Linked DNA regions of Oreochromis niloticus. The protein of the gene in region 1 purifies or fractionates together with the protein of each later gene. This does not show direct contact. Links are inferred from orthologs where the notes say so. Each region holds a gene or a part of one and is shown in the gene's direction. Other genes may lie near its edges.

What was found.
Region 2: the proteins of RNA-binding protein MEX3B (region 1) and mycbp2 purify together in Homo sapiens (affinity purification with mass spectrometry; 3 studies listed by BioGRID and IntAct, with this or other methods). This does not show direct contact. The link is inferred for Oreochromis niloticus from reciprocal best matches to the Homo sapiens genes MEX3C and MYCBP2.
Region 3: the proteins of RNA-binding protein MEX3B (region 1) and ap2b1 purify together in Homo sapiens (affinity purification with mass spectrometry; 4 studies listed by BioGRID and IntAct, with this or other methods). This does not show direct contact. The link is inferred for Oreochromis niloticus from reciprocal best matches to the Homo sapiens genes MEX3C and AP2B1.

Annotation. Positions count from the first base shown.
Region 1 is NC_031977.2:21,260,405-21,270,611, reverse strand, and holds the start of RNA-binding protein MEX3B, read left to right. Parts: upstream 1-5,362; 5' UTR 5,363-5,802; coding exon 5,803-6,406; intron 6,407-7,355; coding exon 7,356-7,594; intron 7,595-7,776; coding exon 7,777-7,822; intron 7,823-9,571; coding exon 9,572-10,207. Other genes in the region: tmed7 (transmembrane emp24 domain-containing protein 7), read right to left, coding at 584-820, 1,773-2,018, 3,363-3,521. UniProt on the Homo sapiens protein: E3 ubiquitin ligase responsible for the post-transcriptional regulation of common HLA-A allotypes. Binds to the 3' UTR of HLA-A2 mRNA, and regulates its levels by promoting mRNA decay.
Region 2 is NC_031987.2:22,597,894-22,608,634, forward strand, and holds the start of mycbp2 (E3 ubiquitin-protein ligase MYCBP2), read left to right. Parts: upstream 1-6,087; 5' UTR 6,088-6,559; coding exon 6,560-6,831; intron 6,832-8,859; coding exon 8,860-8,935; intron 8,936-10,741. Other genes in the region: scel (sciellin), read right to left, coding at 527-545. UniProt on the Homo sapiens protein: Atypical E3 ubiquitin-protein ligase which specifically mediates ubiquitination of threonine and serine residues on target proteins, instead of ubiquitinating lysine residues.
Region 3 is NC_031975.2:24,343,186-24,353,099, forward strand, and holds the start of ap2b1 (AP-2 complex subunit beta), read left to right. Parts: upstream 1-5,741; 5' UTR 5,742-5,896; intron 5,897-8,117; 5' UTR 8,118-8,135; coding exon 8,136-8,172; intron 8,173-8,289; coding exon 8,290-8,395; intron 8,396-9,914. Other genes in the region: tectonic-like complex member MKS1, read left to right, coding at 229-362, 956-1,038, 3,601-3,698, 4,039-4,142. UniProt on the Homo sapiens protein: Component of the adaptor protein complex 2 (AP-2). Adaptor protein complexes function in protein transport via transport vesicles in different membrane traffic pathways.

The DNA of each region.
Region 1 (10,207 bases):
TTTTAGTAACACAGGAAAAAAATGCAACAGATTTTTCATAAACAAATCCAACCTTCGCACTGAGAGTGCGGCTTTTGAGAGCTAGTGCAGATAAAGACAAATATCCGCAGTATCATTATAATATGACTACATTTAGTCCCAGTGTCCACTCGGGTGCTTATTTCAGAGCAGTTTGGGATGAAAAGTGGAACAGATCATGAAGACAGGGGTTAGAAAAGGACACATTTAAAATAAGAACACATTTAGAAATCATTTCAAATATTCAAATGACTTAAAGTTTTTCTTTAGCTATATGGCCGGTGCTTGAACTGCTTCAAATACAGATAGTTACAAGCAACACAATCAAGTCTTCCTCCTGTTTTTTTTTTTAAATCCTCAAAAACCCACAACTATTTTTTCTCCTCAAGACTAATTTGCATAAAGTTGTAAGAACAGCTGTACTGATTTAAGTAGCCGAGTCAGATTGTACGACCTGGCCGCTTGATATGATTCAATTACAGATCAGTGCGGCTGTTCCTATGCACTCCATGCACACAAGCCCAAGAACAGACAAAGGAAGTGATGAGTCAGATCTCAGAGGCTGTTATGAGCCCACACGTGTTGTCGTGGTCTTCTTGTCAGAGAAGAAGCTTCTCAGCAGGACCACCTGGCTGATGCTGACCACCAGGAGGATAATAGCTTCTCCGATGGACCAGAAAGCAACGCGGGTATTGAGGTCCTCGGCACGACTGCGTCCCTGGGCCTCACGGAGGCGAAAGTGTGTCTGATAGTCAATCACCGACTTCAGAGCCTCATGGATGGACACGCAAGCTGACTCCATCTGTAAATGGTGAAAAATTGGAAAACAAAACTGATTTTAGATCTTTTGAAGATGGCTGAAAATATTTACTAAATTCATCCACCAGGAACATTAAATCTGCACGGCTAGCATATATGAGGCTGTCATTTAAGGGAGGGGTGGTGCTTGTATTTATATCATTGGTAGTTTTTGGCAACAGTGGTTTAAGCATTGCTTTTTAATTATATTTCTTCAGCTAATATTACAGTAGGCAGCTGATATTTTGTGCTTATTCTAGTCTGTCTGAACAGACATGTTATTCTCTCTCCACTTCAGTATTTGAACGTCCCACGTCTCGCTGTCTTTTTCTGCCTTTAGTTTTGTCCCTAACTGACAACCACTATTTACTAAATCTAATGAAACACAAAAAGGCAATAAGGTCAAACAATTCCAGAAGCACATGCAGAAGCAGGAATTTCCCCCCCATTATTCTTGAAAGAATCACTCCAGCTCAGCCATATGTTTAGGATGTAATCGGCCTCCTTGAAGTAATTCCACACAAAGTTCAAATGGTCATTTTCTGGGTCTCTCTAAACATGATGTTTTCTTTGTTTAAAATCGTTCTTTGGTAGATCACTGGTTAGGATTACTGTCTTGCTACATCATCAAATTTCAGCCTTATTTTAGCTGATATTATCTTGTGAGAGTAGCCACAGTACCGAGTTTTCATTTACAGACAAAGCTTGTCTGGTGACTCTTTCCATCTGTATAAAAAAAAAACAACTTTGTAAGATGGCTGCTCTGCTTTTTTGTGTTATTTATCACCAGGATTTACGCGCTTTTAATTTAAAGAAACTCTGTTGGTTTATTTCTGCAACCAGGATGAACACAGGAGAACCGTTTAGGTTATTTCGCCCTAATAAATACAATGAAGCAAACATTAGTGAGAGAAACGGGCTTTTAACAGGTTTTTGTGTGAATCCTCACAGTTTACCTGAGTAAGAGCAGTGACTCTGTTCTCGTTGGGGAAGAGTGGAGGGTCATCGCCAACCTGAAAGTCAAAGTAAACCGTCTTATGCGTGAAGGTGGAGAACTCATTGCTGAAGCAGAATTTGTAGGTGCCATTCTTGGCTGCTGTGAAGGTAAAGCTGTCATATTGCTTCTTCATCTCCTTATAGAGTGTTGTGCCATCTGGGTCCTCCAAACGGCAGTCCACATCGTAATGACCACCGGTCACCACCTGGGAATGAAAAGCACAGAAGGAATGAGTAACAAAGCCAAGGAGGGGTAGGATGGATACTGACAAAGTTTTTGTTTTTAAAAAAAAAATAAAAAAATATCTATAGCGTTTTTGCTTACAGGTCAGAGTCTTTATCAATTTCATGTCTGAGTCCTGCACATATTTTCAGTGTCAGTGCAAATTAATCTGAACACAGTGTAGAAACAGAGTTTAAAAACAACTGCCTCAACATCAGATTGTTATTACACGATAATTATGCACACAAGTAAAAAATAAAAACAAACACCCAGATTAATCTTTATTTGCACTTTTTCTCTTTTTTGGCAAATACACTTGAAGCACCAGTATGTGATTATTGCACTTTAGAAAAAAAAAAATCAAAAAAATCAAAAAAATAAATAAATCACACAACACTATGCTCCTAATGAATACTTGTACAATAATTCCCCACTCGCCCTGTGGGCTCTTCAGCCCTTGGTATTTCTCCAGCTTCTTGTATTCCTTCTTCTTGATTCACTTGGTATAGCTACATCCATCACCATGGCCTTCTTCCTCTGATGGTCCACCATGTGGACATTATGTTTGATTGGTTAGCCATCACCAGTTTGTTGTTCGTCTGCGTCTGGAGGTCTCACGGGATGTTAGCTTGGGCCACTCTCAATCACCTTTGGAGTGTATCCCATTTTGACCTCTGGATTTCCAGGCCATACTCGTCACAGATGTTCCTGTATACTATGCCACACACTTGATTATGGTGTTCAATGTAGGCCCTGCCTGATAGCATCTTGCACCCTGCTGTTATGTGCTGGATTACATCTGGGGTATCTTTGCACAGCCTGTGTGATAGGCCTCGGCCTCTAAGGATCTTGTGCTACCATGAGTAGTGTTTCGGTGCTGTCTACCCTGTCAAACTTTAACCAGGCATTGGTACAATCTTTCAATATCAGCCACTTCTTCTATCTGTTTGTTGTACACCCTGTGTGTGTGTGTGTGTGTGTGTAGTTCTAGTCAAATGTTTAAGGCACATGTCACAGATAATGAATAAGATCATTTAATAGTATTTATTACTCATAACTCGGCCTGGTGCTACCTGGACACCTCTTATTAAATTTAAATATTTACCTGAAGATCTTTCAGGTAGAAGTAGAGTAACTGAGCTAGTTTACATTTCTAGTGTTTATCAGACATGCACATAGAGCTGTTCATGTCCCTGGGTTTTCATCTTTGACGCCTGATACAGATTTCAAGAGGACAATCTAGACTCGATTTAATTTGGGGGGAAAAACGACCTTCCGATTAGGATGATTCGCATGGATGCAAGGGATGGAAATAACAGACACGCACCTGGAACTCCAGGGTGCATTTGGTGCCCATGATGATGTCTTCGTAGAAACACTGTTTAGCGTTGTCTGGCAGCTCAAAAGTTAGCTCGGAGCCGAGCACCCACCCACAAAGCAGCTGGGCCCAGAGCACCTGCAGCAACACCCGAAGCGATCCGTACATCCTGAAGACTGAGAGCCGACAGCTTCTAAGAAAAAAAACTGTAAAAGCAACAGATTAAAAACTAAAACCGTCACTGAAGGTGGCGAAAATACCGACAAGGAAAACCCGGACACTGATATAAGCGGCTAGCTGCTAGCTTAAAGCTAACTAGCGAGCTAGCTGGTCTTTATATTTTAGAGAAAGAAAGAAGCTCGGAATTTGTAATATGTTTCAATGGTTGCTGTGTTGTTGTTTTATTAGGACATAAGTAGTAACAGGAGTTAAAATAAATCCAAATATTTACGATTTTATATTATGTTTTAGTTAGAATTACCTACTCACCCCAAAGTCCTCACCCGGATGCAACTAATACTAAGACGCGTATTACTAACGACACACCTCATTGGTCGTCATCCGTAAAAGCCCGCCTTTGCTTGCTCGCACTGGTGGAAAAGCATAAAAGGAGGAGCCATTGTGACATCACGTGGGCCACAACCACGTACGCGTGAGCAAAGCGTATCTTCCCTTTTATTACCTGAATCCAGGGCTACAACGTGGCCGCCGGTTAAAATGAAAGTGAAGTATGTTTCGCAGTTTGAATGGAGTAGAAATGCTGCTTAAACCCTATCGGTATAGCATTGTGGTTACAATTATGTTACTTATAACTAAATTTCATTAGACACATGAAATGTTTAGTAACACATTTGGGATATTTAACCCCTATGGCGGCGTCACATTCTGGCAACCAAACATGTTTTTTTTGTTTGTTTGATTTGTCTTGTTTGTTTATTTCCTTATTATTTTTGTTATTACACTGTACCTTAAATTTTATATTCATTTATTTTTATATAATGGCACAATATATAAGGAGTAAGGGTGTGAAATAATCTTTAAAATGTACCTGTATGTGGATGAATGTGTGAAGAAGTATATTTGGTTGTTGAAAGGAAAATTTTGATTTCATTTATTATTAGAACAACACTTTGGCTCGTTGTCTCAGTTGCATTTTGGATTTAGACCACTTTCCCAAACTACTTTGAGCTCTACTTTGGGTCCTTTCTGTATGGTGTAAAAATGAATGACCGACTTAAATATTAGTGGATAGTTTTCATTCACAATTTGTAGTAGACTTAAATTTTAAAGGTTATCGTGCCCGCTAATAATCTTCTTTCCCTGTGTGTTTAAAACAAATATATAGAAAAAAATTATTTTTAACAAATTTTTTGCTGGAGTTGAACATTACAAAGTAACCCCTGAAATCATGAAAAAGAAATATTGGTAAGGTATTACTGCCTTAGGTCTTGAGTACATATTAGTATTTCTGCTGTGCTTTGTAAGAATTAAAAACAAAACTATATCATTCTATTCATAGCAGGCTTACCTTTTAAATGTAAGTTGAGGACAGTTGTCTTCAAACCCTTGCACTTTTCCACTTAGAGATGTTATGGCAAGGAGCCAGACTTACATCGATCTTTAGGCTCCTCTTGCCTTGCTAATAAAAACTCTCCATGCCTTCATTATACATTTACATCCCATCCCTATAAGCATTTATATTTATCTCTCGATCTTTATACCAACAAAATGCACACTGAAAACACCACAATGTCTTTCTCTCACATCTAATATACATGTACTCATTTACCACTTTTGGGGGTGTAACTCATGCCAACACCCACAGATGTTGTATCATTCTAATATTCCCATGACACAACACCCCTCATAATACATGTTGAGTGCATCTTCCTGATAGTTGTGAAATTGCATCTCACCCTGAAAACAAGCTTCACATGAACAAGCAGTGTGTATGCAGTGAAAGCAAAACAAGCCACAGAAATCAGTCAGATGGATTTAATGGTTGGCTTAAGCAGGAAATATATCAAATGCATTATGAAGCAGGTGTCGAATGAAAGTTATCAAAAACAGTCAAAGGTTAAGAGGAAAGACTAGAGTTTAAACGAAAGTGGGAGAAAGTATGTGTAGGGAAAGGAACGGGGGACGACTTTTTCATCATACACATTGGACCACCATTAAAATATTCAACTTTTTCTGAATGTTGAAATCATTGGCTCGACGTCGTAATTTTCACTCCATACCACTTGGGGCAGTAATGCACCAAATGATCGAAAGCCAGCTGTAAATACGCCACAATAAAGAAGAGAAGAGGAGCGCCGTAAGACAAAACAAAGCCACACATTTCAACGAACAGGCGCTGGTCGCTTTTTTATTTTTATTTTTTATAATCAAATAAATTTCATTCATTATTCATAACGATTACCGGCAATATCAATAAAAGACTTGCATCATGCCGAGTAGTACGTCTTTGCTGGAGGCCGATGAGGGAGAGTCCGAGGTCCCACCGCCGCTCCTGCACGCTTTCGCCGGTATGGGCCTTGACGAGCAGCACGGCGCTCACAGCCAGACGCCCGAACTAGCTGACGAGAGCCTCCCCTTTCACCATCTCCCGCTCTCCTCGGTCTCCCATTTCAGCCTCCTCGGTACGGTCCTCGACTTGAAGCCCTTGCCACTGCCTCGTCCGCCCTCAGGAGACGAAATGAACAAAACGGCAGCGGCTGAGGACGAGGAGGAGCCATTAGTTGCAACCGATTCCTCGTTGCTAACGCAGGCCCACCACCGCAACCAACACCTCCTTTCTGGGCCGGCTAGCTCCGGGATGGAGCACATCGAGACTGTGTTGCTGTACAACGGAGACGAGCGGGACGATCCTGCGGTCGGCGGCGCTCTCCCGCCGGCTAACAGCATGACGATGCTACCGTCCGGCGGGTTCGGGGAGCCGGATTACGGAGAGGCCGAGACATCACTGTTGAACCGGCGTAAGAGCGTAAACACGACCGAGTGTGTGGCCGTGCCGAGCTCGGAGCACGTCGCGGAGATCGTGGGCAGGCAGGGTGAGTCGCTTTCTTTTCGACTGCTTGTGGAGCTAACGTTAAGGTGCTAACGGAGTTTAAACTAAACTTTGTGGGAAGAGTTAGGCAGGACCGAAATAAGGGGCAAAATAAAGGAACTTAAAGAATCGTGATTTTATCCTCTAATTAATTAAAGACGTGGAACAGAAAAGCAACGAGATAAAACTAAGTTATAGTTTTAAAAAAATATATATTTTTGTCGCGAGGAAAAGTGGCATACTCAGCTACTAGCTTAGCATTCCTCCCCCTTCAAACTGGGTCAACAACAACACCCTCGCCCAACGCCCTGAAAAAAGTTTACAACTAAAGTTTTATTAGTCTCCAGAACCCACTCTGTGGCCTCGGTGCAGTAGCTCGCCTGTATCACGGGTATGCTGTCAGTGAGCCTCCCCGTAGCCGTGCTTTGCTGTGCTAAACCAGCCTGGGCTTTGTCTCGGAGGAGAGGGCATAAAGAGCAGCCGGTGTGTCGGACACCATTCCTTTGCCACATCAGCTGCAGGTTATAGTTAGCTCCGTGACATAACCGATATGATTACAGCTAAATATCCCCTCGATGTTCTTAGACCCTTATATGTGGTCTTTGTTTTATATAAACTTTACATAGATGGCTGGGCTGGGTTAGTAGGGCAGTGTGATTATGTTTGAGAGTAAGTTGGGGGATGGTGCACAGACTGCGGTGTTGACAACAACAGGAAATGGCTCTGGTAATGATGCTGGACTCTCAACCACTGCAGAATGGAATATTTAATTTATAAGCTATGCAACTTTTATGTGGCATTAATGACTGGAGACCTGTGCTGTAGTGCTTGTGTCATGATCTTTTATTAGTTCATTAGTTTATTAGGAGATGAAGAGTTTCAAGAGTTTAATGTTGAATCTGTGCAGGTTAATGTGGTTCCTTTATGTGCTTTTTAACTTGTCCCTGTGACAGGCTGTAAGATCAAGGCGCTTCGAGCCAAGACCAACACCTACATTAAGACACCAGTGAGGGGGGAACAGCCAGTCTTTGTTGTGACAGGACGTAAAGAAGATGTGGCCATGGCTAAAAGGGAGATCCTGTCTGCGGCTGAGCACTTTTCCCTTATCAGAGCCTCTCGGAACAGGACGGGCCCTCTTACTGCAGGAGCCAGCCTCGGGACTCCGGCTTTACCTGGACGGACTACCATTCAGGTCAGCAAGCTTGACTTTAAATGGGAAAAAAAAATGTCATTCAGGGGTTGAGAACAACCGTTAGGATGACTCGGTGTTATTAGTGTCAGCATCCAGGCAAAATTGTTGTATAAATAAGGCTCTCTGTTGTGTTTTGTATTTTAAAGTGTGTATAGCTAACCTTTATCGTTTTAACTGTACAGGTGCGGGTACCATATCGTGTTGTTGGGTTGGTTGTGGGTCCTAAAGGTGGGTATTTAATTTGTTTTGTTTGCATGTATGTAACTGCTGGAAGTCATAGTTCTAAAGAAAGTCTCTAAAACAAAAATCCGAATTGCCCTTTAGCTTAATTATATGTTGTTTTAGCATAGATGGCAGGAAAGGTGTGAAACATGCAATTTAGGACAAAAAGAGTCAGAAAAACAAATTTCATGTTCCCAGATGCAGACTAAAAGTGTTTTTTGGATGATATAGGCAAGACACTATGGGACTATTCACAGATTTGTAGCTCTGCTATCAGGCCCCACATCTAACAGCTTCTGTTTCTGTGTTGTCTAATGGATATCCTGTATTTCTAAAAGCCTCTGCATCTTGATATCCGTCAGCTCAAGTCCAGAAGGTTCCCTGTCGCTCTTAGCTAGTCTTTGTACACATTAGCACCTGTGTGTGAAAAAGCCCTGAGGCTGATTATGATTTGCTCACTGGAGTCTTTAACTCTTTGCCCTGTTGACATTACCAGCTGTGTGTCAAATAGCTCTGGGCTGTGTTTTTTTTTTTTTTTTTTTTTTTTTTGTGTTAAACCAACCTGCAACGGTCCTTGCGATAATACCTGTAGAGGAAGTGGTGACGTGTCAAAAAGAGTCACTGGAGTTGAAAACTTAGGAGGAAACACTGCGTCACACAAACACAGAGTCGAGAAGTGTGCTGTGGAGTATTTACAAGCAACAAAATGCACTCCAGGATATTTTTCTTGGTTAAAAACACAGTATTGTCATTTGATAAGGTTTCCACATTAGATCTGAGTTCAGTGTTGTGGTCAGGTGGTGTGGATTTCAGCCAGGTGAGTCAGTAGGCCAGCCTGTAGTTGAGCACTGTAATTATTGCACAGCTGTGCTGTTTCCATTTTCAAAGCAACACACACAATGATTAAATAGAACTGAGTGTGGGGCGCTGGTTTGACTCACTGGGTTGAGCAACGGTGATGCATATGCTACAAGGTTAATGCTGAGGCCCGCTTTTGAATTATGTCTGTCTTTCTCCCAGCTTCTCTCCTGTCCTGCCCAAACAAAAAAAAAAATCTATAAAAAAAACAACAACCAAGAAAAAAGTGTAACTGCCATAAATGCACAATACTGTCGTTATGACTAAAATCTTGAGTATTTAGCTGTGACTGCAGTTTCTGTGTGACTCAGCTTGGCCTGTTTTGTCAGATTGTCAAGCTGCAGTTATTAAAAGATAAACAAGTACACAGAGCTGTTAGTGTTGTAGTCTGAGATTTTGATCGACTATTATTACTTTAGCTGAGATTTTTACCACCAGCTATTAAAAAATGAATGTGTGCCATTTGTTTGCTTTATATTGGTGGCTGCTCAAATTAAACATGGACAAAGTTTCTGATCATGAGGTTAAGGTTAGGTGACACTTTTGTTCAAGCACCTTTTTCTACTTTTGTATTTGTGTGATGTCAAAGGGGGGAGGGTATATTCCCAATACAGCCATCTCACTCCTCTGACTGTGAGGACCTAAGCCCCACCCACTTCCTGTTCAGACTCTTTGTTTTTATTCGCGTTAAGGAAGAGTGAAATTGAGGGGCTGAACCTGAATTAAAGCTCAGGGTAATGTAGATTATAATGACAGCGAAAATGAACATATTATAGCCACTTTAAGCTATAACGGACAGTCATGTAGCAAAGTGAGCAGAACGTTGATCGAGTCTTTGTACTCGACGTCTGTGTCTCATGTTTTGAGTGAAAGAGCTGGTCTGGTCATATCTTTCAGGAGCAACCATAAAACGCATTCAGCAGCAGACCCACACCTACATTGTGACGCCGAGCCGGGACAAAGAGCCAGTGTTCGAGGTTACAGGCATGCCGGAAAACGTAGACCGGGCGAGGGAGGAGATAGAGGCCCATATCGCTCTCCGCACCGGAACCTGCGGGGGCATCGAGGCTCCAGGTGTAGACAACAATGACTTTCAGTTCAACGGGACAGATGTCAGCTTCGAGACATCGGCTATGTTGGGAGAGGCTGGATGGCTTCAGGCAGGTGCATCATCACCAGGCGGCGGTGGCTTGCTGCCACTAAACATCACCGGTACTCAGCGAGTCAATAGCAATATCAACAATGGCGCCAGGATGTCTTCCAACTACCGCAACGACAGCTCCAGCTCCCTGGGCAGCGGCACCAGCTCAGCCGATTCTTTTTATAGCAGCGGGAACGGCAACCGACTGGCAGACGTCAGCCCAACCGGTCCGTTTAATGCCAACGCTAACAACAACAGCAATGGCGGCAGTGCAAGTTTCTGGTTTGGCGAGGGCCTTCTTCCCGTGGGGTCTGAGGAGCTGGTTGGGCTGGGAGGTGGAGGCTCCTCCTCAGGATTTGACCCATTAACCATTTCCACTGCCCATTCGTCAC
Region 2 (10,741 bases), on another chromosome or scaffold:
TCAAGCTGTAGTTTCTTTCACTGTGTTGTATTTTTAAAAAAAATTAATTAACATATAGCTTGTATGGGGCCAACATGAATACTGGGCTCGTGAATTTGTAAGTATTTTAACTCTTAGATTAAATAAACTACTCTGTTTTTAAAATGTCTTTATTAAAATTTTGTGATTCAATTTTTTGTATTCATTTATATCACTATTAATATATAGAATGATATATCTCTATATATAATTAATATACTATATATCTTTCAGTCTATTTTGCTGTTTTTCCCCATTGTTTTTATTTAACAAATTCTTTTTAGCTTACATACTCATTTTGACTACAAGCAATAATCTAACCTATTTCAATGAGTGCAATAATAAAGGGAAACAAATATGGTTTAGCTCTATATCATTAACATAATTAATATGCAGCAGAGTCATGTAACTACTGGAATCTTTCAGTCTTGCATCTGCTATTTAAAAAAATCCACATTGCTTAGAATTTGGTTCATAAATTTTTTTTCTTTGATAGTTCTCAACTTACCAGTTTTGAAAGCGCTCATTTTGGAATTTCACCTGTAAGTATGACACAACAAGAAAATGGATCACATAATAGAAAAAAAGACCCCAGCTCATTAGCCACAGGGTGGCACTCTAGGCTAAAACCTTTCATGTGCCATTGGTATTCTCTATGCTCCATAATGAAGTGAACCAGCAATCACAGTTTTCTGCCATCTGTATACTTATCATCAGCACACATATGCACTTCATGGACTGGATTTATGAGCTTGCCTTGTTGGGTTTGGCGTCTGTAGTAAATCAAAAGTTGTGTTTAACCCCAGACTCAAAAAAATTAAGCCTAAACTGGTTAGTCTTGATTTGTACCCACATTTGGGACACACCCACCCACAACACACCTTCTCCAAGCACGCCTTTGTCAGCAAAACCATGAGCTTTTTAAAGGCGTGACAGGCCACAGGCTATTGATGATAAAGATTGCGGCCTTTCATCTGCACCCTCCACGATGAACATACATCATAAACCTCGAGGTAGACTTACAGCCTCGACAGAAGTTATAATTGTAAATGGCATATTGAACTAATGAGTGCTTTTTCTCATTTTTTTATGTATTACTGGATATTTAATTATCTGATAGACAAAAAATATATATTACACAGTAAAACAGACTGGTTCATCATCTAGTTTGTAAAAGATGATTTACATGTTTTCAGATAATATCATAAAACAGATCAAATCTCTCATCCAGCCAGTGGTTTATCAGATCTGATCTGTACACTAAAAAAAATGTTTATGCCCAAAATGCTGACTTTAGGTAATTTGATTACATGTAAAACTTCCATGTCATTTTTAGTTACACAAGTACAACTTACCGTAAAATGTTACATTTAATGGAATCCGATCAAATGAATTTCACTTGATTTTATACATTCAGCTTTTACCAAGCATATTCTCCTTGATTATGATTAATTTTTTGAATGAATAAACATTTTGATTTAATCACTTTCAATCGCATTTTACTCAAAATAATTTCTTCATCGTTATTTAGGGTGATTTTTTTGAGCGTACACCTGCAAATCAGTCTGTTCTGACTCCTCTTTGTATCTGTAAGGTATGCATTATGCATTATTCCCTCAAAAGAAGTGCAATCTGACATGAACACTACAATGATATCATTACATAACCTGACATACAGTGTGTTCTCTGATTTATTTTCCTTTATGCCTCAGTGCAAAACACCACCTCAAAAAACTCGTCTCATATACAATCTCAATTTATCATGTGTATTTTTAATACATCATTACACACAGTTTCAGCTAAAATAAAAGACTGATAAAAGATTCCCACACAGAGAGAAAGGGTACATACCTCCACAGAAACCTCTTTGACTTGATAGAAAACTCTCACTTCAGCTCAGGTCTCAACACCTGTCTGTCACGCTACACAATCACACCCTTGTCATTCCTTCTGCTTTAAACCTTAAGGGAGTGGAGATTCAAGGCCACCCACGGGCGTGGCTTTACGGAAGAATCAGAGAATAGGCTTTCTCTCTCTGTCGTTCTCATTCTACATGCTTCTATCGCCGTCATCAATGTTTCCTAATTGCTTGTTTACCAAGAAACATGGAACTGGGTGGAGTGCTGAAAGACTTGCAGCTCAACTTGAGTGATGAGGAAGCAAACCTGCGACGCGGGTGTGGGATTCTCTCTGTCCTAATCCTACTACATGCTTGAACTTGCATAAATATATTTTTAACACTAGAAAGTAATCTTGGGATACAATGTAAATAGAAGATAGAAATATAAAGCGTGCACACACAACAGTCACTTCATTAGGTACACTTCTAACCAAATGTATCCAGTCTGGTAGCTCTGCTATAAATTCCACCTATTAGGAATTCTCTGGATTTTTGTTGATGTTGACAGTAAGGTGATAATTCTATTGGGGTCATGAGGCTAAGAGTGTACTCGGCTGCCTGTGATTTTAAATGTAAATGCTCTCTGCGGTGGTGTTTTTGTTACATTCAGCTTTGCAGGTAGACTAAATGAAGTGGCCTGTGGGTGTATTTGAATACTTTTGGAGGCTTTTTAGCATTTAGTACGACAGTCGAGAGTAAAGCTTGGAGACAGACAGCAAATGGCATGCTGCCTATTCAAACCTGAGCCTTTGCAATAGCCCTACAGCTTAGCGTAGGGAGCTCAACCAGAACCCTGGTTTTTATATTTAATGTAGATTTCTGAAGGAGTTGCCAAAGGTACCAGTTATGCCAGTTATGTCCTTATCAGTAGCAAAAGCTGTAAAACCTACAAAGGTACAGTTAAAAGTTCAAAACTGGTGCCTTCCTTCATTGGATTGGGGTCTCCCCTTAGGTCTTATGTTTGAACCTCTGGGTGGATTACCTCGCTATATAACCATGTATCAACATCCCCTTGACTTTATAGCACTTTGGATGGGAGTGGATAATTTATACCTGTATAATAATAAAAATACTTGTTATCTAACATCACCGAGGTCCAATAAAATTTCATAACAACTCAAACTCAGACCTTATGCCTTTGATGTCTGGTCGCAAAGCAGCTTGGCTACTGATGACTGATTAGGTGTTTCTGCTGCCTTAAACATTTAGACTTTGAACGAGATTTCTTCTGATATCGCGTGTAGTTCAGCGGATTAAATAATGTCTCCTGCCAGCCAAACCGACATACCTGACTTGCTCAGTGACAGACTTGGGAGGTCTCAGACCGATGCTTAAGAATGTCAAGTGACAGTCAGACTTGAAGCACGAATGTCGCACTGTCTGTGTGTGAGCTTGATTATTGGGAGTGCCGTCTTTTGAATGGTCATAGGTATGAAAGGTGCATAACATCCATGGGTGTGACAACACAATACTGATAGGTGAAATCCTCCTAGTCACAGCGACAGTACGAGAAGAATGCAGGCTTTCCAGCCCTGCATTAAAGGTTAAAGCAGGCTGAAGCAAAGATTTTAAAAGATACATTTTTGAAGGAAATACCCTCTCAGCTATGATTATGATTTGTCTTTAACTAGCTGAACTTGTCTGTATATTAATGAGCAGCTTGAGAAGCCTTAGATTCATTTCCTTAGAGTTCGAGATTCCTCTGCTCTCTTTACAGACTTTACAACATTTAAGTAAAAGATCAACACTGGGTGGCGCTAGGGCTATAATGATAGAAATTATTTTCCAGGTTGCTTAGCTACGTGGAAATATATAAATGTAAGACAAGTTGCTCAAGGCAAAACGTGTCCTTAAGAGTTTACTGTTAGTGAGTCAGAAGAAAAGAATAAATATAACCTGTGCTATCAAGATGACTGAAAGAGTTAGTTGTAAATATGAACTGTCAATACCAAACAGATAAATGCAGAAGCTACTTTCAGCTGCCCCTTTAGTCACAAAGGGTCACCCCAGCAGGTATAGCTCCCTGTATTTGATTTGGAAGCTGGTGCCCCCACAAAAAACAATTTAGCTGCCTGACAAAGAGCTCAAGTTTTCCTTTATAGTATGGTGCTGTAACATGCAACAACTGCACTATTTAGAAGAAATACAATTGGAAAAAATCATATAATAATGCAGTGAATGCATTTCACTCTAATCCGAGCAATCTGAACATAAGAGGTTTGAGTCAACATCAGCACTTTCATTCAAGCATGAATGAGGCACATCGATGTGTGCGAGGAACCAATTAATTTCCTCTCCAGTCATGTAGAGAAACACATTAGGAGTCATTAGCTGCCATTAGAAACACAGTCCTACTGGGTTTTAGATCGTTAATATTCTCAATGAATGAAAAGAAACAAAATACGATAGATGCTTGAAAAAGATTACCCACGTTTGAAACTAATTGCTTGAACTTTAAACACCACATTTCATCTCCCAGGATGAATGAAGGCTGACATAGTTCTATCCATATAGTTGATTTTGTCAAGGCACATTATGTCAGGTCAATACTGATGATGCTGAGACACTATGATATTAAGAGATCAGGGTTATAACCTAAAACGTAAAACCTAACAACCTACTTAGACTCTAATAGTAGCCTCATCTCCTGTGTGTGTGTGTGTGTGTGTGTGTGTGTGTGTGTGTGTGTGTGTGTTTGTGTGTGTGTCTGAGGGGGCTGGATATCATCTCTGTCAGCTCTGCTCATGTTTGTGTCCTATATGGACTTCCACTCTGCCCAGGCATCCCTGCCCCTCCTCCCTCTATTTACTGTAACTGGCCAGAGCTGAGAAAACCAGGGGTTAATAAGGGAGCAGCCTCTGGATGCGACTGCATCTTCAATACCGAATCGTGCTCTTTTCATAACCTGCCACGTAGAGACCATTACAACTGCTATGATGCACTTGAAGAGAGCTGCTTTTCACTTCTAATATTTCACATGACAGCTGTGAGAGCACAATTCTTCAGGTTTTGTCATGGGAGATGCATGCTTGCACTCTGACACTGATAATCTCTGAATGCTTTCTCGGTTGCTATGAGAAGAGACAGCAGACCTACCTCTCTCTTGTCATTGGGCCATTGCAATGCTGTGCAGCCAATAAAGCACCACTAGGGCCTGTGTACCCCTTTGTCATTCTTTCTCCCTCTCTGTCGCCAAATAAATGCAAACATCCCTCCACATGCACAGACATTTAAAAGGATGCAGCCAAGCATGTTTGAAACATGACCTGCTAATTGCATCATCCGTTGCTATATCACACACTAAAGTATAAGCACCTGTTTCCTTGTAAACCTTATACTGCAGTAGGGTGTTTTTTTGGCCTTTGCTTCTATTTTGATGTTACCCAACACAGTGTTTCTCCTTTTTTTTTTATTATCTCTCTCTCCCTGCAGCTCCGCAGCTCCCCCTGCACCCTTGTGTCACCCTTTAAAATATCGCCATCACCATCGCAATCTGGGTAATGCATAGCTGACGCACTTCGGTAGTGTGCAGCTTTACTCTGAGGCAGTAATGAGAAGCTAAAACAATCACACTCAGTGAACAATCCCCCCACAGCAGCACGGTGAAGATCAATTAACAGGGACGGCAGATCGATAACTGCAGTCCTGGTGCCAGCTAAGGAGAAGTTCAAGAAGGTAGATCAAAGGGCAGGGTTCACAGCTACACAGGGTTCACTGTGTAAATGGAGCAATGCTAAACGGAATAGTACAGCAAACAAAAAAAAAAAAAAAAAAAAAAAAAAAAAAAAAAAAATCAAAACAGTTTTAAAAATATGCAACTCTGTTTTTAAAGGTCACTCTTATTGCGGACAACGATTCCAAGAGCAATCCATCTGTGCATGTGTGTGTGCCAATTTTAGATCAACCTGGGAGGGGCCCTTGGTGTATTGACTTCTACAATTTAAATGTCCACAATCCAACTGTGCACAGTGTTCAAAAAATAGCCCTGCGGGTTTGCCTTTGATCTATGAGGCCGTCCTTAGCCTCGACGATTATTTCTCTGATGTAATAAAAAAGAAAGAAAGAAAAGTGAACTACGCATTTGCAGCGATTGTGTACACAGAGAGGTAATTGATCAGCTAAATCAATGATAGCATCGCTCGGTTCAGACGTATGAAAATATCCCGGCATGCTGGCGACGCAAGGCTCGGCCAGGGAGGGGAGGGATGATGGAGCTAAGATGGCAGCCCAACTGAGGGTGCTGCCTCTCCGGGGTCAAGAGATATTCAAGAAACGAAGCAAAAAACGAAACTCGACAATGCGATTTTTCTAAATGAATGCTTTCGTTTCTGCTTTTTCGCGAGAAATTTCAGTTATGGTTTGAGAGGATCGTCATTGGAGTCGAGCACCGTGTTGACGCTGCGGCCGGATCGCAAGACTACACTGGTTTTTTAGCTGCACCACCAGATTGGCTACAATTTGCGCTTCTAACCACTGAGGACCGTGGATGCTCGTTGTGGTTTTTTCGCAGCTCGTAGCCGACAAATGATGTGACATGTGGCGGATACATCGACACGTGGATTGCGCCTGATGGCTAGAGATTATCTGGCTGTGATATCTTTTGTGTAATATATACATATATATGCATTGTTCTGCAAAACGATGATGTGTGCTGCTGCGGCAGCGGCCGCCGGTGGTGGGATTCTGCCCTCCTTATCGCCGTCGATGGGGCTGGGTGTCAGGGTCATTTCTGGAGCAGGAGCCGACCTCTCCACCGTCGGTTCGGGGATGGGTTCTTGCCCGACACCCGGAGTCCAGTCGGATTGTCGGACTCGGTACCAGCTTTTACTCTCAGGACGAGCCCTGGCGGAGAGATACAGACGGATTTATACCACCGCCATCAACGATAAAGAGCAAGGGATAAATCAAGGAAGGTGAGCGGATAAAATGAAATCAAAAATATCACGGAGGCTGGGCTGTCATTTGTAGGGCTAACTAGGCTAACGAAGCTAAGAGTAACCCTTGCTCAGCGGTGCGTCAGTCAATACCAATGAGCTAACTTCCACGCATATTTCTTATTATATATGGTTTTGGTTGCATCTCATTCTTTGTCACACAAGCGCATGTTTTAACTACGGGTAGTATGTCAGGAACTCCATAATTTGTTTGCGGGGTTAGCTTGCTAGGTAGCAATTTTGACTTCGACTTCCTTAGCTTATGGGAGCCATCTAAGCTAACGTTACGTTAGTTCACCCTGATGCGAGGGCTTTGCACTCCCGGTGCAAACTGCTTCGGCTATGAACTGACACACTGCAACTAAAATGCAAGGTTTTTCTACTCGAGACATGTCCACTCGAGAAAAACCTCTCCGTGGGGTGGATTCGCGTCCAAAACGAGCTAGCCGGCTAGCTGTCATGGGAGTAGTTTGTGATGTTTTGAGTGAGGTGCGATCCGGCTAAATGCAAACATGCGCCCCACTTGTGTAATATGTTTGTTTATTTATGTATTTATTTATTAAGCCGTCACTTTACTTCATTGTCACCCATTATTACCGGTTAAGTAGTGGTGTTGTGTGTCTAATTAGGCCCAACGGCGTCATTGTGAGCTAGCTATTCGGAGCATCCGACCTTTCACCAGGTTACCTTAACTTAAACCGGTTAAAGGGGGAGGAAAAAATTCACGAGGCTGACTTTGGCTTGTTGTCTATTAAAAATAAACAAACAAACAAATAAACAAACAAACACAAAACATTAACTGCTTATTGCTACTGTGCACACACTTGTTTGAAACGTGAGCCGTGTTTGGGTGAGGATGTGTAGGGAAGTGGCTGAACTCATTTGCTGTTCTAGCATAAGCGGGTAATACACTTACGTCATTCTAGTCAGTCAGATTGTAGACTGAGTAGCTGGATCATCGCTGCATCCTCCCCTCACAAATCCAATTGCTGTTTTCAGTGTGTACAATGGTTGCTTTAACCAAGGGCCAACATAATGCTGAACGCTACTCTGTTTTTATAAACAAATGCTGAATTAATTGGTGTATTTGAAGGAGCAGGCAGAAGAAAATCGTCAGTCTGTCTAGTTGGTTGCTCATGTCCTTTTCAACTAACATCTGCCACTAATTTGCTTATTTAAAAACTCATAGGCATGCTCAGTTGGCCTGTTTTGGAAGCTCTTTGGAGAAAGTTGGTAAAAAGGAGTATCTGGATCAGTCTTGATTGAGACCTGCTATTATGCTATTTGTATGGTGCTGGAAAGCAATATTCAGCTATGCTATTTAGTTTAAAAAAAAAAATAGGACACTTAAAACTTGTAAATCTTTTATAATGCTTTTTCTTGTAGTGAGTAACTGTGGTTACTAATTTTAGTGGTGTTTCTATTTCTAGCTTCGTATTACATCTTATTGACAGGTGGATTTGTAAGAGAGACTGGCCACAAAAAGCCATTGCAAAACAGATTTAAGTGACAGCTCAAAGGCATCAAAGGGGAATTTCTGCAGAAACAAACTAGTGCCTATTTTGGGAAGGTTTGATATGAGAGGCAACAGTGAATGTGAATTTCCTGACGCACTTATGGCGGTTAAGCAAGGTGAACTGCGCTTATAGATCTCCGCTTTGCTCGCTCTGCAGAGTGAAACAAAAATGAAATCGACACAGCTGTGTGGGACGTTAGAAAGAATAGAAGATTTTGACATTGAAATAGTTTGAAACCTTGCATGAAGAAGAAATGTTTACCTTCCCTCATGTCTGAAGTGTTCCTATGTGCTGTCTCTTTAAGTACAATTTTGACCTTTGCTTTAAAAATAAAGTGATCCAGTTGTGCCCATTTCATTTTTACACTTTCACCTTTGGATGATAGCTTGAGCAAGCTTTCTACATGGTTTGAGTGTTGACAAGAAGTCCAGCGTTTTTGCTAAAAGAGAGCACAGTTTTGCAAAACTAACTGATCACTGTTTGCTTCCAGGGGAAAGAAGGCATTGAGTAAGAAGAAACTTAAAAGGCGACAGAAGGTCAAGTCAAAAGTCAAATCAAGAACAAAGGTAAGAGATGCTTTAATGTCTAAAAGCTGTTAGGCAATATTAAACTTTGACTTGGACTACCTTTGCTGTATTTGTAAATCCTTATTAAACATTGCTACTACTTTATAAAAAGTAGTAGCAATATTCTAGTAGGAAATAATCACTCATAACCCTCTCAGTCCTCCTTAAAATAAAGCTTAATTGTATACTTTATGTACTTAAATTTCTCTCCTCGTGTAAATGAAAACATCAGTTTTATTTTGTAACTGTCACGTTTGCAAATGCGTTGATTTGTCTTTTGTAGCTGGCTTGACTGTATTGAACGAATTGAACAGATTAAGGATGAGATTAAAGGCGAGATTAGCTCCTCTGTTGTCTGGAGGGTATTTGGCGCAAATGTTGTTTTCGTTAAGTCTGGGTCGGTCGGGTGCCAGTAAGCCCGTCCGCACAAGAAGCTGCGTGGTGGATAGGCAGAATGAGAGACACATGGGAGTGGCTCTGACTTGTGCATGATGGCCTGTTGCCGAGCAACCTAATGTGTTCCACATCTCCACGGCAACAGTTGCCTGCTTCAGTCTCCTCCTTCCAAAGAGGGATCCCAGCCTGCATCAGAGGATGCTGTTGTTTCTCTTTCAGGTGGAGACCTCGCAGGGTCCTAAGATTTATAGGTTTTAACCTTGGACTGCTCATCTTTTTTTTGTACTACAAAACCATGAGTACCTGCAGTCTGCCTTTGATGCTGTTCAGTCCCAGTCAACTCGACTTAAATTGGTGTTAAATGCAGACAAATCTCAGTTTATGCTGTGATCAAATGGCAAAGAGTTGAGAGCTATCTTCACCCCCCTCACAGATACGTGGCCTGGTTCTCATGTATCTGTTTCCATAGATGTATAAAAACAGTTGTTTGAGCTGCTGTGGGAGAATGAAAGTCATTTAAAGGGCTTGTTCTGCTTCTCAAGGAGATGGTCTTAAAATGAGTTCAAGTTAAATGGGTTTTTTTGTTTTTTTTCTTCCCTTGACCTTTTATTGCATATAAACTGCATTCTGTTTGTTTGCTGCCCTCTTGGCCAGGTCACTCCTTTAAAAAAAGAAAAAAAAAAAGAAAGAAGGTGTGAAACTCAGTGAGACCTTCACGTGTAAATAAAGGCTCTAATAACAAAATCTGCAATAAGCACAGTCACCTTTGATTATAATGTCTCATGTTATTTTTTTATTTTTTCTCGTGATTGATAGCTTGGTCTCCTTTCATGATTTCCCGTATTTGTATTTATTTGTTAGACTGTTTTTAAAATTAGTTTTTGAGCATCCTACAGGCATAAGCAACAGAGATTAACACGATAATAGCAGAAGAGAAAAGAGGCTTTACTCTGACTTCTTTTGTCATCTTTCTCCTCAAATGTTCCAGACAAGCAATCTAGCGTGGAGTGGCCGAGTCAGCTCAGGGTGAATTGCTCACAACGCTATAAGATATTCTGTGTGGTAGGCAAGGCTGGCTGGCAGGGAGGCATAAAAACGTGGGCTGTTACTCTGGCAGTCGTGCTCTATTTGTATGTGTTGTGCTCACTCTTGCTCTTTCACGCCTCTGACACTCGTGTAGTCAGACAAGAGTGTGGTTTGAAAGCATTTTTCTCCCCCCTCCCTGTCTGCTTCTGTGCTTACAAACGTGAAAGTAGAGTGAGCATAAAGCCAGAGCATAAACACTTATCATCCTAATGAAGAGGATGATGTAATGTCTTGTGTACAATGAAATGTGTTTTCTGTGCCATTTAGAAAAAACTGTCATTATAATACCAACATAATGGTGCAAAGTAATACATTCAAAAGAAT
Region 3 (9,914 bases), on another chromosome or scaffold:
TGTGCGGATCAACGCGCTTGTATACAAAAGGTTTCCCCATGTAACGGTCTGCTAGAGGGTGTGGAGGCCCATAGCCCCGTCCCCCAGGGCATGAAGCAGGCATTTTATAATTTTTAAAATTTAAATTAAATTTCAGCTAAAAAATGTTGTGATAAGTTATAAAAATCACAACTTTTTATTGTCCTGCATTATATGTTTTGTCTGCATTTACGTGTGTGTGCGCGCCAGGTAAACACACGATGACATGCCACACATGGAGACCCCTTCAGATGGGGACGGTTTCTGCACTCAGGCGCTTCTTTATTGGAGGTTCTCCAGAGCTTGAGGACCACAGCTACGTCAGAATACCAGGGACATTCAAGGTGGGGTCAAAACTCTGCAGAGGCTCTATGGATCTGACAAATGTTTACACATAATTCAAGTGTATAATTTTTCTGTTTTGCTTAAAGAGGATTAGATTTAAAGATTTATTAATTTTTTTTAATGAAAAAAAGAGTGCAGAACTTAACAGCTGCTTAAAATGCCACACTGGATTATAAAGAAAATACTTAAACTTTGATTAGAATGTTTGCCTTTTTAAATCATATTCTAATTCTTGATTTAATAATTAAATGATTTACATAATACAATTAATAAACCCAGTAGGCTTACTACATTACTTAATTAAACTGGGAATGACTTATTTGTTAAACTACAATCTGTTAAACATTTAAATGTACCTTACAACAACTTAACATAAGTTCTGGTTACATTTATTCTTTATCAAAAGCAATGTGTGCATGCTTGAGACCTTACAAATGCAGTGGATAAATTTAACTCCTGGTACGATTATGAAGGCATTTTTTAACCCTCTAGTTTTATATACATGTTTTATGTTATGTTAAATATGATCATTTTTATTTTATTTTATTTTATTTTATTTCTAATATGTCTGTATGTCTGTGTGTGGCTGCAGGGGGAGAGGCTGAGTCGCTTTGGCTTCTGCACTGAAACCACAGGAAGTGTCACTTTTAATCTCAACTGCATTCAGCAAGCCAGGTAAGTAAAGCCTGGCTTCAAAAAAGTAGTGCATAGTGTGCCTAACAAATTTATTACATCACCACCCAATGTAAGGTTTATGCCACAGCTGCCCTAAATGAACAGTATTGTTAATTACCACAATCTTTTCTAATGTTTTGTAATGGTTAACCACCAAAATTTATGTGAGCTATTTAATCGAAATAATATTTTGAAAATAGTAAAGCACACTATTATTGTTGTTATTATTATTATTATTATTATTATTATGAATGAAATGAAAACACGAATTCCAGTCTAATAAAAAGGAATTTGATTTTTAGTTTTAAACAGCTGTTTGACAGATTTCTAAAATATTTGTTTTCTTGTTTTTATGACAAGTAATAAACTTTTTAAGTATTGTACCCAACATTTAATAGAGATATATAGTACTTATACAGGGAGTGCAGAATTATTAGGCAAATGAGTATTTTGTCCACATCATCCTCTTCATGCATGTTGTCTTACTCCAAGCTGTATAGGCTCGAAAGCCTACTACCAATTAAGCATATTAGGTGATGTGCATCTCTGTAATGAGAAGGGGTGTGGTCTAATGACATCAACACCCTATATCAGGTGTGCATAATTATTAGGCAACTTCCTTTCCTTTGGCAAAATGGGTCAAAAGAAGGACTTGACAGGCTCAGAAAAGTCCAAAATAGTGAGATATCTTGCAGAGGGATGCAGCAGTCTTAAAATTGCAAAGCTTCTGAAGCGTGATCATCGAACAATCAAGCGTTTCATTCAAAATAGTCAACAGGGTCGCAAGAAGCGTGTGGAAAAACCAAGGCGCAAAATAACTGCCCATGAACTGAGAAAAGTCAAGCGTGCAGCTGCCAAGATGCCACTTGCCACCAGTTTGGCCATATTTCAGAGCTGCAACATCACTGGAGTGCCCAAAAGCACAAGGTGTGCAATACTCAGAGACATGGCCAAGGTAAGAAAGGCTGAAAGACGACCACCACTGAACAAGACACACAAGCTGAAACGTCAAGACTGGGCCAAGAAATATCTCAAGACTGATTTTTCTAAGGTTTTATGGACTGATGAAATGAGAGTGAGTCTTGATGGGCCAGATGGATGGGCCCGTGGCTGGATTGGTAAAGGGCAGAGAGCTCCAGTCCGACTCAGACGCCAGCAAGGTGGAGGTGGAGTACTGGTTTGGGCTGGTATCATCAAAGATGAGCTTGTGGGGCCTTTTCGGGTTGAGGATGGAGTCAGGCTCAACTCCCAGTCCTACTGCCAGTTTCTGGAAGACACCTTCTTCAAGCAGTGGTACAGGAAGAAGTCTGCATCCTTCAAGAAAAACATGATTTTCATGCAGGACAATGCTCCATCACACGCGTCCAAGTACTCCACAGCGTGGCTGGCAAGAAAGGGTATAAAAGAAGAAAAACTAATGACATGGCCTCCTTGTTCACCTGATCTGAACCCCATTGAGAACCTGTGGTCCATCATCAAATGTGAGATTTACAAGGAGGGAAAACAGTACACCTCTCTGAACAGTGTCTGGGAGGCTGTGGTTGCTGCTGCACGCAATGTTGATGGTGAACAGATCAAAACACTGACAGAATCCATGGATGGCAGGCTTTTGAGTGTCCTTGCAAAGAAAGGTGGCTATATTGGTCGCTGATTTGTTTTTGTTTTGTTTTTGAATGTCAGAAATGTATATTTGTGAATGTGGAGATGTTATATTGGTTTCACTGGTAAAAATAAATAATTGAAATGGGTATATATTTGTTTTTTGTTAAGTTGCCTAATAATTCTGCACAGTAATAGTCACCTGCACACACAGATATCCCCCTAAAATAGCTAAAACTAACAACAAACTAAAAACTACTTCCAAAAACATTCAGCTTTGATATTAATGAGTTTTTTGGGTTCATTGAGAACATGGTTGTTGTTCAATAATAAAATTATTCCTCAAAAATACAACTTGCCTAATAATTCTGCACTCCCTGTATGGTTGGTAAGCTCTACATTATCTGCATTGTTATAGATTAATCACATTTCTTTGGTGGCTAGACTTTATTTGTTTCAACACAGCAGCAAATCTACAACTTCACAACTGTCTCCTATTTCACAGTCCCACAATACACTGTAATTTTATTTCTATGTTAATGCAGGTGTTGCAAATATAATATAATATAATGGTAAATGGCCTGTATTTATACAGCGCTTTTCTAGTCCCTAAGGACCCCAAAGCGCTTTACATATCCAGTCATCCACCCATTCACACACACATTCACACACTGGTGATGGCAAGCTACGTTGTAGCCACAGCCACCCTGGGGCGCACTGACAGAGGCGAGGCTGCCGGACACTGGCGCCACCAGGCCCTCTGACCACCACCAGTAGGCAATGGGTGAAGTGTCTTGCCCAAGGACACAACGACCGAGACTGTCCGAGCCGGGGCTCGAACCGGTAACCTTCCGATTACAAGGCGAACTCCCAACTCTTGAGCCACGATCGCCCCAAACCTCGGTTTGTTTGCATTCAGATGATAATCAGTGATAACAGGAAATGTTTTAATTTCATGTGCAGGGCCTTTGTTGATACTGCCATGCTGAAGAAGAGGAGGCAGAGAGTTTTTGACCAGCTGGGAGGATTTAGTCAGCAAGGAGCTGTTTGCACCATCCTGGGTAAGAAGTCTGGATTTTCAGGACCCACTGAGCTTAGGCTATGGATAAGTTTGAAAGCTAAACCCTGTGGGAAATCGACTCACTGAGATACAAGTTTCTTTCAGCACTTCAGTCTGACATATGTGAGATATGGATCGATTGGTTATAGCTTGGTTTGTTTTCTGAGCTAAAAAATGTGGACTAACATTAGCGTATTATTTCATACCAGTAATATGTAAAATCAAGAAAACAGTTAACCTTTTTTTTCCTTTGTTATTTCTGTGTGTATTTGTTATAAATTGCTATGTAAGCCTTCTCTGTATGTGTGTAGTATTCGACTGGTACTTTCTTCCTTTTGCAGAGGCCTTTCAGAGGGCCAGGAAAAAGATGCAAGAAGCCCGAAAAAGTCTTCCACAAGACCTGATCAGCAGCGCATCCCAGCTACAAATCGAATCCTCTGCTTAAGTCTGAAAAATGGAGTGAGGCTGTTACTGTTTTTTTTGAAGTTTAGATTATAGATTATCACTGGCTGTGATATAAGTGAATTTTTCTCACAAAGAGGAAAATCATGTCTCAATGTTTTAATTGTTGTATTTATGGCTAACATAGTGGATGGTGTACTAATGAAGTTACAATATGAGTGAAGCTGGTAATTAATAGATAGCAGAGCCATTATACCTGCTATGTATGGTTGTACCTGGCAATGCATTTTTTTTTATAGTCACGGTTTATATTTGATTTCAATAAACGGTCCGATTGTTGGCGTTAACTGAGGCTTTTAAAACCTTGTGAATATAAAGTAATGTTTTGAAAGTTTGGTTTTATATTTTCTATTGGTTACTTCAAATATCAATGTAGTTGTCATATTTGTTGTAATATAAACATTTTATATCAACTATTACAATTATCTTTAAATACTTAAAAAAATCTAAATCTTTTTTCTTCATGCACTATATTTTATATTTGGTATATGATATTTAGGGGCATTCATACAGTAGTTTAAAGCTGTTCACACAGTCTAGATTGTATGTAAAAGTATTTTTTTAAATCTTTTTTTGGGGGGGCGCTTGTCTTTTCAGATTGAGAAAATATTGTTTTTGTGTGGGTTTTCTTCTGTAGTTTGAGGGCTAAAAATGCTGGGGGGGGGGGGTTACAAAGTTTCCATGCTCTATGAATCACTTTGGTCCTTTCCACTGAAGCACAGGTTTTGCTTAGTGCAGTTCAGCATCTTAATAGATGACTTACATTCAATAGGATAGCGGCCCTCCAAGTCTGGAGTTCGACACATGTGCTTGAGATAGTTGAATTGTAAAATCGTTTTGGAGCCAGAATTGAACCAGTGACCCAAGAATTTCTGTCCTCCGCTCTACCAACTGAGCTATCGAAGGGATCATATACACCGCGTCTGATTTGTTGGACCATCGGATACATGGTACCTAACAGAGTCTGTGTTTTGCAAGAATTCCATGTTTCAAGGACTTGAACATAACAAAAATGTACCCGTCTGATTCAACATGTTCCTTCATGCCTGAGGCACTGAACATATTTCACATCAACATGAGTATCCTTCCTTTTTCCAACTCTTGGGCTGCGTTCAGACCCAGGGGAGTACTTTGCAGCCCCTGACTTGAAACTGCTTTGAAAAAGGCAGGACTGTACAGTGAAGGTGAAACGCTGATATTATGGAATTCTTTTCCTGGCTGTGAGGACACGGCGAGGTCCCTACCAAGAATTCCCTCCAGTGTTGCATTCATGATAATAGGAAACCGTGGCGTCATATGGAGTCATTTATTATGTAATGTAATTTTCCCCTTTAAATACAAAAGTTTGCACTGATTTATATTTGCTTGTGAATCCAATTACAAAGAAAATATAAACCCTGCAGACCGATTTGTCCACATGACCTCGAAACCGTGTGATGTCATTGCCGGTTGTGGTTTCCTGGATCTGCATATACATTTTATATAATACATCATTTATATTCGCAGATCTTAACTATACAAACATCTACTAACAGCCGTTATAAAATCAACGAAATGTGTTCGCTGCAACAACGCATCCTGGTATTCTTTACCTCAGAAGGGAAGTTGTCCAGTTTCCGATGAGTGTGAATGCACCATCGTTATCCTGGTTCTCCATCTTCCTCCAAACAGACGAAGGAGCAGCCTGCGTCTGACACCCAGTGGAATATTTTTCTCTTCTCACGTATACTCAGCAAGGTATGGGCGATATTATACAGTACAGGACCTTCTTTTAACCTTGCTGTCATTGTGTTGTGATTTTGTATCGACTGTATTTTTGCAGGGCTGCTCATCGTTTAGCTACCGTAAAGGCAGCTCCTGGAAACTGGGCCGCTGCTCACGTTTCTATTTTGACTCCAGATTTAACATAACGCAATCTTGTCATATCGGACTGTAAACCCAGGTTGATGTTAGAAGTTGTCTGTGTTTGGAGTTTGTTGTTAATATTTGTGGTATCGCAGTAGGGAGCGGATGTATTTAGCATCTAGCTAACGCTAGCTAAGTGGAAGTGCTGTGCCTCCCGGTTAATTAAAGCTAACCTGATGTTTGTTGAGAGGTCAAACGTCGTCACACCCAGAAACACAGAGCAGTTAATGTCACAGTTAGATTAGAGTAGGTTCTTCTTCACCATACAGATGAAGAAAATGGCTAATGCCGGCTAAAGTAAAGGTTTAATTCTTTAACATGTAACCCTAAGTACGTTTTCTTCAATGTAATAGCATGTTTTAGCTAGGGCTGTACAGATACACAAATGTGTGGTCACAGGTTTACATACAGTCATTATGGACATCGATATCATATGTTTGTGCTTTTAATGATTGCTCTGAACTTTGAATTCTTTTCCAGGTTTGCATGATTGCAGAGCTTACATCATTAATAACTGCAAAAATTTGAAATTATGTTGGATTTTCTCTCATCCACACAGATTCAAATATATACATAAACCCCCATTAATATTTGGTTAAGTGTCCCTTAGTAAGTTGCATCTTCCCCAGATGCTTTTGGTAGCGATCAACAAGCTTCAGCCATAATTCTTGCTGATCATTTGACCGCTCTTCTCGTCAGAATTGGTAAATATATCTACCGCCACCGTGCTTGACAGCTGGCACTCTGTTCTTAGATTTGAAAGGCGTACCATTATTCCTCCAAACATATCTCTTGTCACTGTGGTCAAATAGCTCAATCTTTGTCTCATCTGACCATAAAACCTTTCTCCAGAAGGCATTTTGCTTGACTATATTTCAAATTGCAGTTGAGCTTGAAGCAAGGGAGTAGGTGAAAGAGAGCCTGGAGAGGCAGAGATATGCTCTAGTGGAACTGACAAAAAGATGGAAGGCCAAGCTGGAGCTGTCACAGCACAATATGCTCGGACCACACTGGTCAGGTTTAGAAATAAGTACAGAGGGACAGCACAGGTTGAGTAGTTTGGAGACAAGGTTACAGAGGCAAGGCTTAGGTGGTTTGGACATGTGCAGAGGAGGGATAGTGGATATACCAGACAAAGAATGTTGAATATGGAACTACCAGACAGGAGGAAAAGAGGAAGACTGCAAAGAAAATACAAAAAATAAAATCCATGCATTTAGCGAAGGAGGGCTGGTGTGACAGAGGAGGATGCTAGGGATGGGATGGCAGATGATCCTTTGTGGTGACCCCTAAAGGAATCATCTGAAAGAAGAAGAAAGGGGAATGAATAATAACAAAAACAAATTAAACATAATAAAATTGCATTTGGTGCTTCCCTAGTGTGGTGCATTATGATAAAATTAAGTTGCCTATTTCAGAGTTTACTAGAACTTCATATACTCTGTAAAACAGTAGGGAGTGTATAATTCAGACATAAATGGTTCTCCTAACCTCTGCCAAACCCAGGATCCTCCATTACAATGCCTGAAAATAAAGCCTAATTAATGAATCCAGACTATAAGATTACAGTGCTCTGTAGTCCACTGGTTGTGTTTAACACCACTCCAGCTAATATTTGGCATTTTGCTTGGGGCTCTTAGGCTTTCATTTCCACATCACCATGCAAACCAGTGTCATGAAGCCACTTTACTGCTGTATGGATTTTGCTCAGTTATTTATTGAAAGGGGTGTTCTCCATACTTGTAGTGTAACCTTGTGTATTTGTAAAGCAGTTATTCATACATTCATTTAGAAACTAAACACATCAGGTTGGTCTGTCATAGAAGAAACCTGTAAAATTTTTAGATTTATTACTGACTGTTACAGTGTACTATGTTGGAGGCAAACCTGATGACTGAATCTCATTGAACTACTTTGTGGCTTGTCACCACATCACTTAGTCATATGGCAGATCAGGGAAGAAGAGGTACTACAGACTGTTATTGTATATTAAAGCCTCACTGAATGATTATGTAATATTTTTTAAATGTATTTATCTATTTATTTTTTACAGAACTAAAGGACAACAGTCATGACGGACTCGAAATATTTCACAACAAACAAAAAAGGTGAGTATGGAAGAGAAATTGTTTTTTGTTCATGTGGGCATGTTAGAGATTGGAAATTTATGGCAGTGTATATATAAACAGCACTGCTTTCAACTCTTCATCTGATTCATCTTTCAGGGGAGATCTTTGAACTGAAGGCAGAGCTGAACAATGAGAAGAAGGAGAAGAGGAAAGAGGCAGTGAAGAAGGTCATTGCTGCCATGACTGTTGGCAAAGATGTCAGGTATACTACAAAATAGAGCAGGGCGATATGACCAAAAATATTTATCACGATATACATTTGAAAATTTGCGATAACGATATAACTGACGATATAATTGACACTAGACAAAATACTTTACAACTCCACAACTTTATTAGTGCAAAAAGAAACCCATCAATGTATTTTCACTTAAACAAGCAGCTGTTTTTTATGTGCATTAAAGTTACATAAAAATGTAACACTGCAAATTCCTTGCGGACAGTTTAACCAAAAGCCATTTCCAGTAGAAATTGGCCGACATATCCTCAGCATAACCATGTATAATATCCACAAAACTTAAAAAGAGGTTATACACACACAATACGGTAATATTATGTTGAAGCACAGTACGTATCACTCCGCGAGGCTCCTGCCTGCGATAGCCGTAATGCTCCGACAATCCATCAAGCGGTGTGGGTTCGTAGCTTAGCAAAGTCGTACTAAAACATTTGACAGATTTTTGAGCGCCGTGTACCACATAAAATCATTTCGAGGTCAGTAAACACAACCAGAATTCATACATAAGGCACGCGGGATTATAAGGGGCACTGTCGATTTTCAGAAAAATCAAAGGATTGATTTTAAGTGTGCCGTATTTTCCAAACAACACGGTAATAACGACGGCCCGCTAGCATGTGCTACCAAAAATAGTGCTTTGTTGTGTATCTGACGGACGAAAGCTAAACCAGTTCCACACCACTGAAGTTGCAGCATTTTTACAAACCAACTCTGCTTCATCCGTTTCATTTAATGATCCACTTTCGCTCTTCTCATTCTGCGTCGCCGCCATGTGCGTATGTAAACATAGGCACTGCGCATGCGCGTTTTACCCACATTCTATCGCGATATTTCATTTTGCTATCGTTGCCCAAAATTACACCGGTATTACCGTGAACGGTATGATATAGCCCAGCCCTACTACAAAACTGTGTTCATGACATGCTTCACACAGGTCTATAATTATAACAGTGTGATAAGATAAGCAAATCAAAGTGACGTGGCTTCTGTGATTTCTCAGTTGCATTATGTGTTGGCACCGAATATCTTAAACAAGAAGAAAATTGTAGTGTTGTGCTCACTGACCAACAGACCATTGGATTAAAGTCCTTCACTCTCCAAAGTAATTCAGCTGCTGATATTTAACTCTGAGTTTTGCTTTTGGAAAGCTGATTAGTCTCATCCTCAGTAGACTGATATGTGGTCATTGTTTCCGGCTCTGCTTTTGTTTCCGCTGTTCTCTGCCAACTCCCAGGATATGTTCCTGGAACTGTCAGTGCTGCTAAGAGAGTAATAGTAAATAAAAGTCTCAGTATTGTTCAGAGGGCTCACTGCTTTGCTATTGATTGCCATCGGTCAAGGAAATCAGTCATTGCAAATGAAGAGAACACAGTAGCAGAGATTAAAAAATAGGAGAGAGCAGTTGCTAGGGTGCTTGGAGCTCTGGCTACTTTCACTCTTTTTATATATCTGATTAGTAGCCTCAGAAATCAGGGAGTAAAAG